2 linked regions of the Anolis sagrei genome follow. The protein of the gene in region 1 interacts with the protein of each later gene in a pairwise test. Links are inferred from orthologs where the notes say so. Each region holds a gene or a part of one and is shown on either strand. Other genes may lie near its edges.

Region 1 (7,165 bases):
TGTTTATACACTTCCCATTTTAATGTATGATTCTCGGTATTAATAGTATAAGCAATTATGTACTATCCCTTTGGAAGAATTGTGTGCTAATATATACAATCTGAATGAGAAATGTTGCTGAAAACTGTAATATCCACATCAATTAGTGCTGGAAAGCAGGGATAATTCACTTCAGATACTATTTCTCATATACTATTTCTATACAGCAAGGAGTTAAAATGCTCAAATTCATTCTAAAAAGAAGGGTGTTTCTCTGGAGAAGACACAACAAGCCCAAGTTAGCACCCAACATTACATTCAATGTACTTACCTTCAGCATTTATACACAGCTCTGTTGCATTCTCTTCTGTTGTTGCATATGGATTATTTCCAATCATTGGCACAAGACAATCAGTATAAAAGTACCCAACTTTAGACATGTCAAGGGTGGAAATAACTAGATCTACAGCCAGCTGGCCAACATTCCCCACCGATACCGCGGGCTGAAATGACATAACAGATGCATGCGAGTTACATCATCTGAAAAAAATGACTGATTTTCAAATTTAAAAAAACATGTTAGTTGAACACTGAACATTATTAACCATTTCTATTGAGTCCCCTTGGGGAGATAGGGCAGGTTATTATTATTAGCAGTAGTGGTATTAACACATTTCAGCTGTCAAACCACAATACTATAGTAAAGTAATGCCAAAGTAATTTATAGCAAAATGTACACATTCAGATTATTATTATTACTATGTTTATTTACACCTCACAAAGAAGACTCAAAGCAGTTTGTATTAGTATATTTTATAATGTTTTGGAGAAAAAAGTAATGTGGCTGCTATTTACCAATTTTAAAAATGGTATCTGCTTGTTCAGATAATTGTCCTTTTAATCGAACTGAGGCGAAAGGGTATCAAATCCTTTTTAACACAAAGAGACAGGATTCTTCAGCAATTATTATATACATAGTTTTGCTAGCAATCTTACACATAGGTTGTGGTGAGCTTTTCAGGTTGTATTACCATGTTCCAGAAGCATTCTCCCCTGACATTTTGCCCACATCTATGGCAGGTGTCCTCAGAGGTTGTGAGGTCTGTTGGAAATTAGGACAGTGGGGTTTATATATCTGTGGAATGTCCATGGTTGGAGAAAGAACTCTTCTCTGTTTGAGGAAAGTGTGAATGTTGCAACTGGAAGCTTGATTATCATTTAATGGCCTTGTAGCGTCAAAGCCTGGCTGCTAGCTGCCTGAGGGAATCCTTTGTTGGGAGGTGTTAGCTGGCTGATTGTTTCCTGTCTAGAATTCCCTTGTTTGAGTGTTCCTCTTTATTTACTGTCCTGATTTTAGAGTTCTTTTAAAAAAATACTGGTAGCCAGATTTTGTTCATTTTCATGGTTTCGTCCTTTCTGTTGAAATTGTCCACATGCTTTTGGATTTCAATGGTTTCGCTGTGTAGTCTGACATGGTAGTTGTTAGAGTGGTCCAGCATTTCTGTGTTCTCAAATGATATTCTGTGTCCAGGTTGGTTCATCAGGTGCTCTGCTATGGCTGACTTCTCTGGTTGAATTCGTCTACAGTGCCTTTCATGTTCCTTTATTCGTGTTTGGGCAATGGTGCATTTGGTGGTCCCTATGTAGACTTGTCCACAGCTGCATAGTAGACTCCTGCAGAGGTGAGAGGATCCCTTTTGTCCATATGTATTCTTGACATACATCAAGGGAACCACTGACCGCATAGGAACCCTGATAAAGAAAACCTACAAACTGGGTTGTTGTAAGTTTTTCGGGCTGTATGGCCATGTTCCATAAGCATTCTCTCCTGATGTTTCTCCTGAAACTTACAGACAACTCCACTCCTGTATGCTTGTCCACTATGCCCTGCCTCATGTACAGAGGAAGAATTGTTGGAGGCTACAGACAATGCCATTGCTGTTGCCTGTTTTTGGTCAAAAGATGTTTAGCTGCCTGTGCTCCTTCTATTTTTATCAGTTTTACACTAATTTATGCAATGCTTTTGATATGAAATAAATAAATCCTGAAACTTGAAACTTCTAGGCCATTAAATGCTAATCAAGGTGGCCAATTGAAAATTCACACCTACCTCCAACAGACAAGAGCTCTTTCTCCCACCCTGGACCTTCCACAGATACTTTTAAAAAAATGCGTGCCATTCAGTCGGTTGAAGACGTAGCGGAGCGCTAGTGGTCTCGTTTGAGAGGCGGGAGTATAAAGTTTTGTCCTGACACAGTTCAGTCGCCATCATGCGTTGGAGCAGTGAGGAATGTGCTTTTGCCATTGAGGCCTACTTTTCGAGCGGATTTGGAGTGGCCGGCCCGTTCTCCAGATTTGGCCCCTTGTGATTTTTTTCTATGGGTTTTTTTGAAATCCCGTGTTTATGTGAACCATCCAAGGACCCTACAAGATTTGGTTTACTCGGTGTATGGAGAATGGAGGACGTCACCTACCTAATTTGATCTTCAAAACTATGTAAAACAAAACTTTAGGTATTCGCCTACATTATATATTTTAAAAATTCCGATTCATACAATGGGTTTTATTAAGTTTTGAAAAAAGAAAGTTATGCTGCCTCACCCTACAAGAGTTCTTTCTCCCAACCCTGGACATTTCACAGATATATAAACCCAATTTTCCTAGTTTCCAACAAACCTCACAACCTCTGAGGATACCTGCCATAGATGTGGGCGAAACGTCAGGAGACAATGCTTCTGGAACATGGCCATACAGCCTGAAAATTTTATTTATTTATTTATTTATTTATTTAAAAGTTTTGTATACCGACCTTCTCACCTCTCTTGAGGGAATCAGGCCGGTTTCCGACCATAATATCACATACAGTCAATAAAACATCATAATTCGTATTACAGTAAAACATTAAAACAGCAATTACATTCAATAACTACAATGGTCAGTCGTCACACTAAAATCGTTGTTCATCATCCTCCATCCATATCTCAGGGTATTGGCTCACTAGTCGAATGCCTGTCTCCATAACCACGTCTTCACCTGTTTCCTAAATGTCAGGATAGAAGGGGCGGTTCTGATCTCCAGTGTGAGAGAGTTCCAGAGTTGAGGGGCCACCACCGAGAAGGCCCTGTCCCTCGTCCCCACCAGATGCGCTTGCGAGGCCGGTGGGACGGAGAGCAGGGCCTCTTCAGACGATCTTAATAATCTTGATGATTCATAGGGGAGAATACGTTCGGAGAGGTAAACAGGGCCGGAGTCGTTTAGGGCTTTATAGCCCTAAACAAACAACAACCCAGTGATTCCGGCCATGAAAGCCTTCGAAGATATACCTACAAACTATCTATAGACCTCGCAAGAAAACCCCGCAAATGCTACATTCAGCAAAAGACAAGAGGTATCCTCTCAGTGGTTCTCAACCTGTGGGTCCCTAGATGTTTTTGGCCTACAACTCCCAGAAATCCCAGCCAGTTTACCAGCTGTTAGGATTTCTGGGAATTGTAGGCCAAAAACATCTGGGGACCCCAGGTTGAGAACCAGTCTAACCACTGCAGGAGTCTCACCAAAATTATAGCTCCCATCATCCCATAGCACTGAGCCATGGTGTCAAACTGCATTAAATTCTACAGTCATCCCATAGCAATGTCAAACTGCTTTAAATTCTACAGTGTAGATGCGCCCTTAAAGGGGCACACACACACTCCCTCCCTCCATATTTTAGGTAGAGACCCCTCCTACTGCCTCCCTCCTCCTCCTCCTCCTCCTCCCACGCCTGACTCAATGCCACGCGCCCGCTCGCGCGTTGCCCGGGCAACGGGGGGTTGGGCGCTCTCTCCGGCCGTCTCGCGCCGCGCAAGGAAGGAACTGTCCATTACCATTAGCAGCGTGCAGCCTTTGAAGTCAGCGGGCGCGCGGCCCTCGCAGGGAACGAACATTCTATCCAAGACGCTGACTGGACGCACCGCAGGCCTACACAAGAGTTCCCTTTGGTAGCGAGAGCAAGGGGCCTTTCTTGTTCACCGCCTCGGAGAGGTGTCTTGCACAGTGCCTGTCCCCATCTGCGCTTACTGACAGCCAGTTAACGGGCGAGCGACAGTTCCTTTGAAGGAAAATTACATTTTTGTTGTTGTTGTTGTTGTTGTTCTGCCGTACGGGTATTAATTGCCTAACAAGACTCGATTGCCTTGCTATCAGGCAATTGTGATAGACACCTTTTATTTTTTGAAAGGCGGTTGAGGCCCGAGCAAGCGCATGGCTAGCTGTGGGAGGGGCCGAGTTTGCTGATTGGCTGGAGATCCAGCCAATGGGTGCTCTTGGGAGGGGGGAGACGGGATAGGCGGTTTGAGCGCGCGGGAGAACGGAGGAGTGTGGTGTTGTGGTTGGAGGTGCCTGGGATGAAGGCCTGTCTGGTGTCCACTTAGTCTAAGGAATTGGGACAGTTGCTGAGCCATGGCCTTGGCTCCCGGGAAAGCCTCAGAGCTCAAGCAGATCATTCACCAGCAGCTGACCAAGGTGAGAAGGAGGAGGAGGAAGAGAAAATGCCCATTGAAAGCCTTTATAGCAGGCTTGGGCCAACTTGGGCCCTCCAGGTGTTTTGGACTTCAACTCCCAGAATTCCTAACAGCCTCAGGCCCTTTCCTCCCCCCCCCCCCTCAGCCGCTTAAGCTGAGGCTGTTAGGAATTCTGAGAGTTGAAGTCCAAAACACCTGGAGGGCCCAAGTTGGCCCATGCTTGCACCATAGGAAGTCCACAGTTTGGGGATGGCTGCTACAGATGGTTGAATCAATGGATGCAGAGGCTGGGTGTATATACGAGGGGTATTTTAAAAGTAAGGTCCGTTTTGTTGTAGATACTAGTAGTTCGCGCTCATACCGCAATGAGCACGTGCATGCCTCGGGAACAACTGTGCTCAGCCGTATGTGATACGGTTTTTGTCAGCAAGGAACCTGAACGGTCCTCATCATGGACGTTGTCACGGCCATCTTTGAATTGTCGTACCCACTTACGCACTTTGCTTTCACTCATAACAGTATCACCGTACACTTCACAAATCTGTCGATGGATTTCTGCAACAGGCAGGTTCCTTGCTGGCAAAAACCGTATCACTGAGCGAACCTCACATGCGGAGGGTGAGTTGATAGTCTTAAACATTTTTAAAGCACAGAACAGAACCGTACAGGTTAGCTACAGAGCGGAAACTGAGCACAGTTGTTCCTGAGGCATGCCGGTACACAACGCACGCGCTAGTTGCGGTATGCGCGCAAACTACTAGTGTCTACAATAAAACGGATCTTACTTAAAAAAATACCCCTCGTAATAACAGTGGAATTAAAAAATAAGCAAATAAGCAAAAGTGGGAATCCCACTGAACTATGGCTTATGAGCAGGAATAATCGAACCTGATACTCTCCATCTTTGGTTTAAATCTGAAATTGGCTTGGTCTGAAATAGTCAACTATACACCAAGGCTGGTTTGCCTGCCTTCGTTTATTCAGTTGGACCTTCATACCCACATATTCTGCATTCTTCGATTCCCAACATCCATGGCTTAAAAACACTCCCCCCGCCTCCAAAAAAATCCAAACCGCCGACCTTGATTTTGTCATTTTGTATAAGGAACACCACTTTATTATGCCACTGTATATCATGGGACTTGAGCATCCATGACTTTTGGTATCCGCAGGAGGACCTGGAACCAAACCCCAGCAGATACCAAGGGCCCACTGTACTTATTTATTTATTTACAACATTTATATGCTGCCCTTCTCACCCCAAAGGGGACTCAGAGCGGCTTACAGGATATACATACGTCCAATATATTATATTATTAGCATAGTACAATATCAATATTAACTATTACTATATTGTACTATACCATTGTATTGTAATGTTATTAATAATATTACATGTAATATAAACATATACCTATATTATTATTAGTATTATTATTTCTTCATAGATGGATGTCCACAGCAGGGTCCGAGAAGTCCTTGCTGAGACTATTCGTGAAGAACTGGCACCTGAACACCAGCAACTCTCAGAACAACATCTAATGAAAGCCCTGATACGGAGAGGAATCATTAATGATGTTATGAAAGAACTCAGCTTTGTAACTGTGAGTAGTTTGAAGAAAACATCTGAAATGGTACCAGATATTGATTACATAATACAGATAAGGTAAAGGTCTAGTCATGTTCGACTCGGGAGGGTTGGTACTCATCTCCTTTTCTAAACCGAAGAGCTGATGTCTGTAGACACCTCCAAGGTCATGTGGCCAGCATGACTGCTTGGAGCACCGTTACCTTCCAACTGGAGCGGTATCTATTGATCTACTCACATTTGCATGTTTTCGAACTGCTAGATTGGCAGAAGCTGGGGGTAATAGCAGAAGCTCACTCCATTCCCTGGATTTGAACCACCAACTTTTCAGTCAGCAAGTTCAGCAGCTCAGTGGTTTAACCCACTGCACCACCGGGCTCTCGTGTATAATACAGATAACCTGGTACAAAAATATTTATGATTGGATTCATTGTGGAGCAGTGTTAATTTTAATAGATCAAAACTGCGTAGGTAAATTTCTTTGTTGTCATCTGCTGGAAGTTAGGGTGAGCTGGATCTATCTGCTCCAGTCAATTGCCTTCACTTCTGAATCTTCCTCCATCCTCTAACTCACCCATACACTCAAGGGATATGTTGCTGCATGAGGGACGAACCTGAAATAGAATTAGGTTATAAGAAGAAAGCACTTATTTGACATCAGAAGTCACTCAATTCAAAGACAATCGCACATGCAATACTTAAAATCATGTCTGGTGACGGAAACATATACGGTCATTTTAAGTTTGACAGAAAAGGGAACATCACTTTGTGAGTTATCTTCCTATCCTATCTAGGGATATTGCAGCTCTGGATGCAGGTTAAACCCCTTGCTGGCTAACCATTTTATGTAAGGTGTTTTTAAAAAATGGAATTAATTTGAAATTGCTATATTTCTGCAACCACAAAATGCCCATAAATTCTATCTTGAGTTTCAAATTATTACTGCTAGATGCCTCTCTTAGCACACACACAAAAGAATCAGTCATTTGCAAGATGACAGTACTGCAACATAAGGCTTAATGAGATAGTCTCAATTTGTGGAATTATTTTTTACATTTGTTTCTGGATCAAAATGATTAATAAAACTAGATATTTT
Region 2 (7,354 bases), on another chromosome or scaffold:
GTTAAATTAGTCGAGACTCGATGTGATATTCATTGAAAAACTTTAGAAAAATGTGCTGCAGGATGTCCCACAAGAACAAAGTCTACTAAGAGCCCAGTATGTATGTCTACTCAATGCTTGTTCACAATTTTTGAGGCAATAACCTTATTAACCTGTCCTAAAATAAGGAATATGCAAGTGACATTTGAAAGTACACTTGAGACAGAGTGATATAGTTCAGTCCTCCTCCTAAGCGATTCCTCATAGTCCAAGTGTGATGGCCTTTCAAGTTCTTGGAAGACACTTGTGTTTTTTTTTAAATATGTGGAAGTTGGTTCACAGCCAATCAAAACGCAGTCTTCACAGAGTGGGGGTCCCAACCAGTGGCGTAATTAACACCACGACAGTGGCTTCTCAATCTGGTGCAACCTTCTTCTGCCTTCACAGCCATTGTAACATGTGCCATGTTATCTTCTGCCTGATCCAATGTTGAGGTCTTCGGATTGTGCTTGGTCTGGAACCTCCCCTGTGCACCCCCCCCCCCAGGAGTGCATGAATCTAGTGGTTATGCCCATAGGTTCATTGAAACATGCAAGCCGCCTCACAACGACAAGGTGACAATTCATCAAGGGGTATATATTTCATATATTTCAGTATGAGCTTCATCATATGTATCATGAACAAAACTATGCCTCAAAGGTGCTGCAAAGGTGGACTTCTCCACTTTTCCTTTCTTATGTCCAGTGTTTATTAGTCATTTTATGATTGTTTATTGTTGGACTATTCCTCCCGCCCCTTTCTCTCCTTCTTCTTTCTCCCTGTTCTTCCTTCTCTACCGATTCTTGGACTGCAACTCCCACCAGTCCTCCTGATCTCTCTGTCTATCTATCTCTATGTCATCTAGCTATCTGGAGGATTGCTGGCAGTTACAGTCCGGGAATAGGAAATTGGAAATATGGAGAGATTGGGATGCTTTCATAGAAATCCAAGGAGAAGAAAGCTTGCATCTTGGAAGCAGTGCATTTGGATCATCCTCTCCTCCTAAAGGGCCTGGTCTAGAGGATGCTGGGAGCTGTAGTCTGGAAGCAAGTGTGGCTATGCTATTGTGTGTTTTGTTTGCTGGGGGAGTCGTTTTTGCGCGTGCGCTGTAGCATCTTTTTGCTTTTTTGCCTTTTTAAGTCCCTTCTGTTGTGTTTTTCAGTGTTTTATGAGTGATGGTCACTCATTAGCCTGATAGGTGTATTGTGTCCAAATTTTGTGTCAATTCACCCAGTTGGTTTTGAGTTATGTTAATCCCACAAACTAACATTACATTTTTATTTATATAGATGGCGCATGGAGGGCAGAAGACCAATGCAAGTGTTAGATATAGATATACACAGCAGAAATCGCTAAATGCAAAAGGCAGCTTTTCAATCTTTCTCCAAATACATAAAATGTGTTGCTGTTAATTCACATTGAGTTGGCTTTGACTTTGGGCACAACATGAATGCAGTTTGATGCTATTTTAGCTGCTATGGTTCAATACGATGGAATAATAGGATTTATAACTTTACAAGGTTTTTAGCCTTCTCTGCCAAAGCATGCTGGGATCTAATCTACAACTTCTAGGATTCCATAGCACTGAGTCCTAGCAGTGAAAGTGGCATCAAATTGCATTAATTCTACAGTGTAGATGAACCCATTCTCGTTTCCTTATTATTTTTTTCTAAGGAGTCATGTCATTTCATGAAATGTGCAAGGTAAAACGGTTTCTGTTGGTCCATTTGATTTGCTCATTTGTCTTTGTCGCATGCACAAAATTATTTTTAAAATATTGTGTAAAATGACCTTTCGGACAATTGTATATGGTGCATATGAAACATAAAGTAATTTACTGTCTAGATCTGAATTCAATCTCCAAGATATCGCATTATGTATGCAAATACAGGGATTCCAAAATAATAAAAAAATTGGACATCCAAGGCTGGACCTACACTGCCATATAATCCAGTTTCTAAATCTAGATTGAACTGGATTATATGAGTCTATACTGCCGTATAGTCCCGTTCAATGCAGACAATCTGGATTCAGAAACTGGATTATATGGCAGTGTAGATGGGACCCAAAATACTTTTGATTCCAAACATTTCAGGTAAGGGATACTCAACTAGTACAAAGGGAAAAAACAAAGTGTCAGTACCTTCACTGAGCCAGATGTCATTTGTAGGCAGGGTTGCAATTATTCCAAAGACCTAGCAAAACTGCAACTCCCAGGATCCCACAGCCTTGAGCCTGGGCAATTAACGTTACAATGATTCCAAAGACCCTGTAAAACTACAATTCCCAGGATTACATAGCCTTGAGCCTGAGCAAGAGTTGCAAGGATTCAAAAGACCTTGCAAAACTACAACTCCCAGGATTCTATAGCCTTGAGCCAGGGCAGTTAAGAATTGCAAATGATTCAAAAGACCTTGCAAAACTACAACTCCCAGGATGCCATACCCTTGAGCCTGGACAGTTGAGAGTTGCAAGGATCCAAAAGACCTTGCAAAACTACAACTCCCAGGATCCCATAACTTTGAGCCATGCATTGACTCTAAAAAACCTTGCAAAACTACAACTCCCAGGGTTCCACAGCCTTCAGCCTGAGCAGCTAGAGTTGCAAGGACTCAAAAGACCTTGCAAAACTACAACTCCCAGGATCCCATAACCTTGAGCCATGCATTGACTCTAAAAAAAACTTACAAAACTACAACTCCCCGGACTCCATTGCCTGGAGTCTGCAAAACTACAACTCCCAGGACCCCATAACTTTGAGCCATGCATTGACTCTAAAACCTTGCAAAACTACAACTCCTAGGGTTCCACAGCCTTGAGCCTGGGCAGTTACGACTTGCAATGATTCAGAAAGACCTTGCAAAACTACAACTCCCAGGATCCCACAGCCTTGAGTGTGGGCAATTAACGTTACAATGATGCCAAAGACCCTGTAAAACTACAATTCCCAGTATTCCACAGCCTTGAGCCAGGACAGTTAGAATTGCATTGATTCAAAGACCTTGCAAAACTACAACTCCCAGGATTCCATAGCCTTGAGCCTGGGCAGTTAAGAGTTGCAAATGATTCAGAAAGACTTTGCAAAACTACAACTCCTAGGATCCCATAACTTTGAGCCATGTTTTGATTCTAAAAGACCTTGCAAAACTACAACTCCCAGGATCCCACAGCCTTGAGCCAGGGCAGTTGAGAGTTGCAAATTATTCAAAAGTCCTTGCAAAACTACAACTCCCAGGATCCCACAACCTTGAGCCATGCATTGACTCTAAAAAACCTTACAAAACTACAATGCCCGAGATTCCACAGCCTTGAGCCTGAGCAGCTAGAGTTGCAATGATGCAAAAGACCTTGCAAAACTACAACTCCCAGGATCCCATAACCTTGAGCCATGCATTGACTCTAAAAAAAACTTACAAAACTACAACTCCCCGGACTCCATAGCCTGGAGTCTGCAAAACTACAACTCCCAGGACCCCATAACTTTGAGCCATGCATTGACTCTAAAACCTTGCAAAACTACAACTCCTAGGGTTCCACAGCCTTGAGCCTGGGCAGTTGAGAGTTGCAATGATTCAAAAGACCTTGCAAAACTACAAATCCCAGGACCCCATAACCTTGAGTCATGCATTGACTCTAAAAAGCTTTGAAAAACTACAACTCCCAGGATTCCATAGCCGTGAGCCTGAGCAAGAGTTGCAAGGATTCAAAAGACCTTGCAAAACTACAACTCCCAGGATCCCATAAGTTTGAGTCATGCATTGACTCTAAAAAGCTTTGAAAAACTACAACTCCCAGGATTCCGTAGACTTGAGCCTGAGCAGCTAGAGTTGCAAGGATTCAAAATACCTTGCAACCCTACAACTCCCAGGATTCCACAGCCTTGAGCCTGGGCAGGTAAGAATTGCAAATGATTCAGAAAGGCCTTGCAAAACTACATCTCCCAGGATCCCATAACCTTGAGCCATGCAATGACTCTAAAAAACCTTGCAAAACTACAATTCCCGGGATTCCACAGCCTTGAGCCCGAGCAGCTAGAGTTGCAAGAACTCAAAAGACCTTGCAAAACTACAACTCCCAGGATCCCACAACCTTGAGCCGGGGTAGTTAAGGAGTTGCGTGGATTCCGAAGGCCATGTCCAACTAACTTGCCTTCGGGACGCCTCTTTGGGGAGGGAGAGAGGTGGGAGTATTTTCCTCCTTCCTTCCTTCCCTCTTTTCCTTCCTTCTTTCCCTGGCAGCACGCGCCCTCGGCCTGCAGGGTGCAGGCGTCAGCTAAGGCGGCGGTGGCAGCAACAGCAAGAGAGGCAGAAGCAGCAAAAGCAGGGAGAGGGAGGAGGAGGAGGAGGAGCCAGGGCCGGCCTCCTTCCCTTCGCCTCTCGAGTCCATTTCCCCAGCTCTAGTGACACCAACGCACCAGGCGAGCGCCGCTGCCCTTGCTCCTGCTGCTTCTCCTCCTCCTCCAGGATCTTACAAACCTCCTCGTCGGTGGCGCCTCCTTCTCTTCTTCCTCCTCCTCCTCCTCCAAAGAAGAAGAGCAAGGGAAACTCCAGCTTGGAAAGGAGGGAGGAGGAGAAGAAGGGGAGGGGGGGGGGCAAGGCAAGCACCACGCCAGCTTCCTGCTTGCAAAGAAGAAGGGAGGGGGGGAAAGAGAGAGAGAGCAAAGGCGACGCTGAAGCAGCCAAAGGTAAGCTTGTGGGCAAAGAGTGGCTTGGTTGGAAGAGGGAGAGGGTGTCCTTCCTGAACCCCAATATGTCTTCCCTCTTTTGAGCCTTGTATATGTATGTAGATATATTTTTCCAGCTGTCTCCACCCTCCTTGCCCCGTCCCATCGCAGCTGTTCCTGTCACTGCCAACGTTGCAAATCTGAAGATTTGGGGAGGGTTCCCCCCTTTTCCCACCCTTTTCCCACCCTCCCCTTCTCTTTTCCATGGAGGGATTTCATATGGAGAGCAATCCCTTCTCTCCCTGTTTTTCCCCCCTCCCTCTCTCTCTCTCTCTTCCTTTAATCTCATCACTTACTCTTCTCTTTCTCCCCCTCCTCCCCCTGCTTGGCATTAACCTATATATATATCTATATATCTATATGTTCTGCCTCTCCAGTAATGGAGAGAGAGAGTGCTTTAAAGGAGGGGCAAAAAAATAAAAGGGGGAGGAGGAGAAAAAAAAGAGAGAGACAGCTCTGTAGTTGTAGACACTTCCCTTTTAAAAAATATGTGTGTGTATGTGTGTTTTTCCTGGTTTGTTTACTGCGCTGCTCAAGAGATTGGTGCCAACTTGGGGTTTGCAGGAAAATATATATAAAGGGCTTGGACGGGAGTTGTTGTGCCAACTTGAGGTTTAAAAATATGTCATAGATATAAACACACATGCACATGTGTATATGTATATATATATATATATATATATATATATGCACACACACTTATGTATATAAGTGCACACACAGACATATATATCTGTGTATATATATCTATACACACATATATGCACACACACATCTGTATATATAGGTACACAGACATATATATGTATGTATATGTATGTATGTATATATACACACACACATTATATGCACACACACATCTGTATATATATGCGCACACAGATATATATATACCTGTGTATATATATCTATACACATATATATGCGCACACACATCTGTATATATAGGTACACAGACATATATATGTATGTATATATATACACAACCATATATATGCACACACACATCTGTATATATATGCACACACAGACATATATCTGTGTATATATATCTATACACATATATATGCACACACATCTGTATATATATGCACACACAGACATATATATCTGTGTATATATATATACACATATATATGCGCGCGCACATCTGTATATATAGGCACACAGACATATATATGTATGTATATATATGTATGTATATATATGCACACACATATATGCACACACATATTTGTATATATATGCACACACAGACATATATATGTGTGTGTATATGTGTATGTATATATATCTATACACACACATATATATGCGCACACATATATATGTGTATGTCTATATAAATAAAAATGTAATGCTCGTTTGTGGGATTAACATAACTCAAAAAACACTGGAGGAAAAACTATATCTATACACACACACATATATATATGCACACACAGACATATATATGCATGTATATATACATACATACACACATATATATGCACACACATATTTGTATATATATGCACAAAGAGATATATATGTGTGTGTGTATATATATATATATATATATATATACACACATATATATGCACACACATACATATATATGTGTGTATATCGATATAAATAAAATGTAATGTTTGTTTGTGGGATTAACATAACTCAAAAAACACTGGAGGAATTGTGTATATATATGTACGTATATATATATCTATATACACTCACATATATATGCACACACACATATATATGTGTGTGTATGTATATCGATATAAATAAAAATGTAATGTTTGTTTGTGGGATTAACATAACTCAAAAAACACTGGAGGAATTGACACCAAATTTGGACACAAGACGCCTATCAGGCCAACAAATGACCATCACTCACAAAAACACTGAAAACCACAACAGAAGAGGCTTAAAAAGCAAAAAAATACATTGCAACACATGTGCAGAACCACATACACACATATATACACAAATATATATACACATACAAAACACATATACACAGACTGGGCCACAGCAACGCATGCCAGGGAATGGCTAGTGTGTGTGTGTGTGTGTGTGTATACACACGCACATATACACAAACACATAGGACTGGGATTTGAGTTATACCCCCTCCCTTGCACATTCCCTTCTGGAATTAAACATTGCACTGTGTTGTCAGAGGCTTTCATGGCCAGGATCACTGGATTGCTGTGAGTCTTCCGGGCTGCATGGCTACGTTCTAGAAGCATTCTCTCCTGACGTTTCGCCTACATCTTTGCCAGGCATCCTCAGAAGTTGTGATGTCAGTTGGAAATGAAGCAAGTAATGTTTATATATCTGTGGAAGGTCCAAGGTGAAAGACAGAACTATTGTGTGTTGGAGATAAGTTTGATTCACAGGGAGGAATCAGCCAGGCTTTGAAGCTGCAGAGCTATTGTATACTCATCAAGGTGATTAATTGCCACATTCACACTTGCCTCCAGCAGACATGAGTTCTTTCTCCCATCCACAAATATATAAACCCCACTTGTCTAGCTTCCAACAGATCGCACAACCGCTGAGGATGCCTGCCATAAATGTGGGCGAAACGTCAGGAGAGAATGCTTCTGGAACTTGGCCATACAGCTT

The links. The genes of interacting proteins can lie anywhere in the genome.
Region 2: the proteins of CEP76 (region 1) and THRA interact in binary tests that used the Homo sapiens proteins (3 or more experiments, as listed by UniProt). The two-hybrid records come from large-scale screens. The link is inferred for Anolis sagrei from reciprocal best matches to the Homo sapiens genes CEP76 and THRA.

The regions. Positions count from the first base shown.
Region 1 is NC_090024.1:66,286,296-66,293,460, reverse strand, and holds the start of CEP76 (centrosomal protein of 76 kDa), read left to right. Parts: upstream 1-4,070; 5' UTR 4,071-4,419; coding exon 4,420-4,482; intron 4,483-5,929; coding exon 5,930-6,085; intron 6,086-7,165. Other genes in the region: PSMG2 (proteasome assembly chaperone 2), read right to left, coding at 311-482, 3,846-3,905. UniProt on the Homo sapiens protein: Centrosomal protein involved in regulation of centriole duplication. Required to limit centriole duplication to once per cell cycle by preventing centriole reduplication.
Region 2 is NC_090026.1:40,792,640-40,799,993, reverse strand, and holds the start of THRA (thyroid hormone receptor alpha), read left to right. Parts: upstream 1-4,349; 5' UTR 4,350-4,702; intron 4,703-7,354.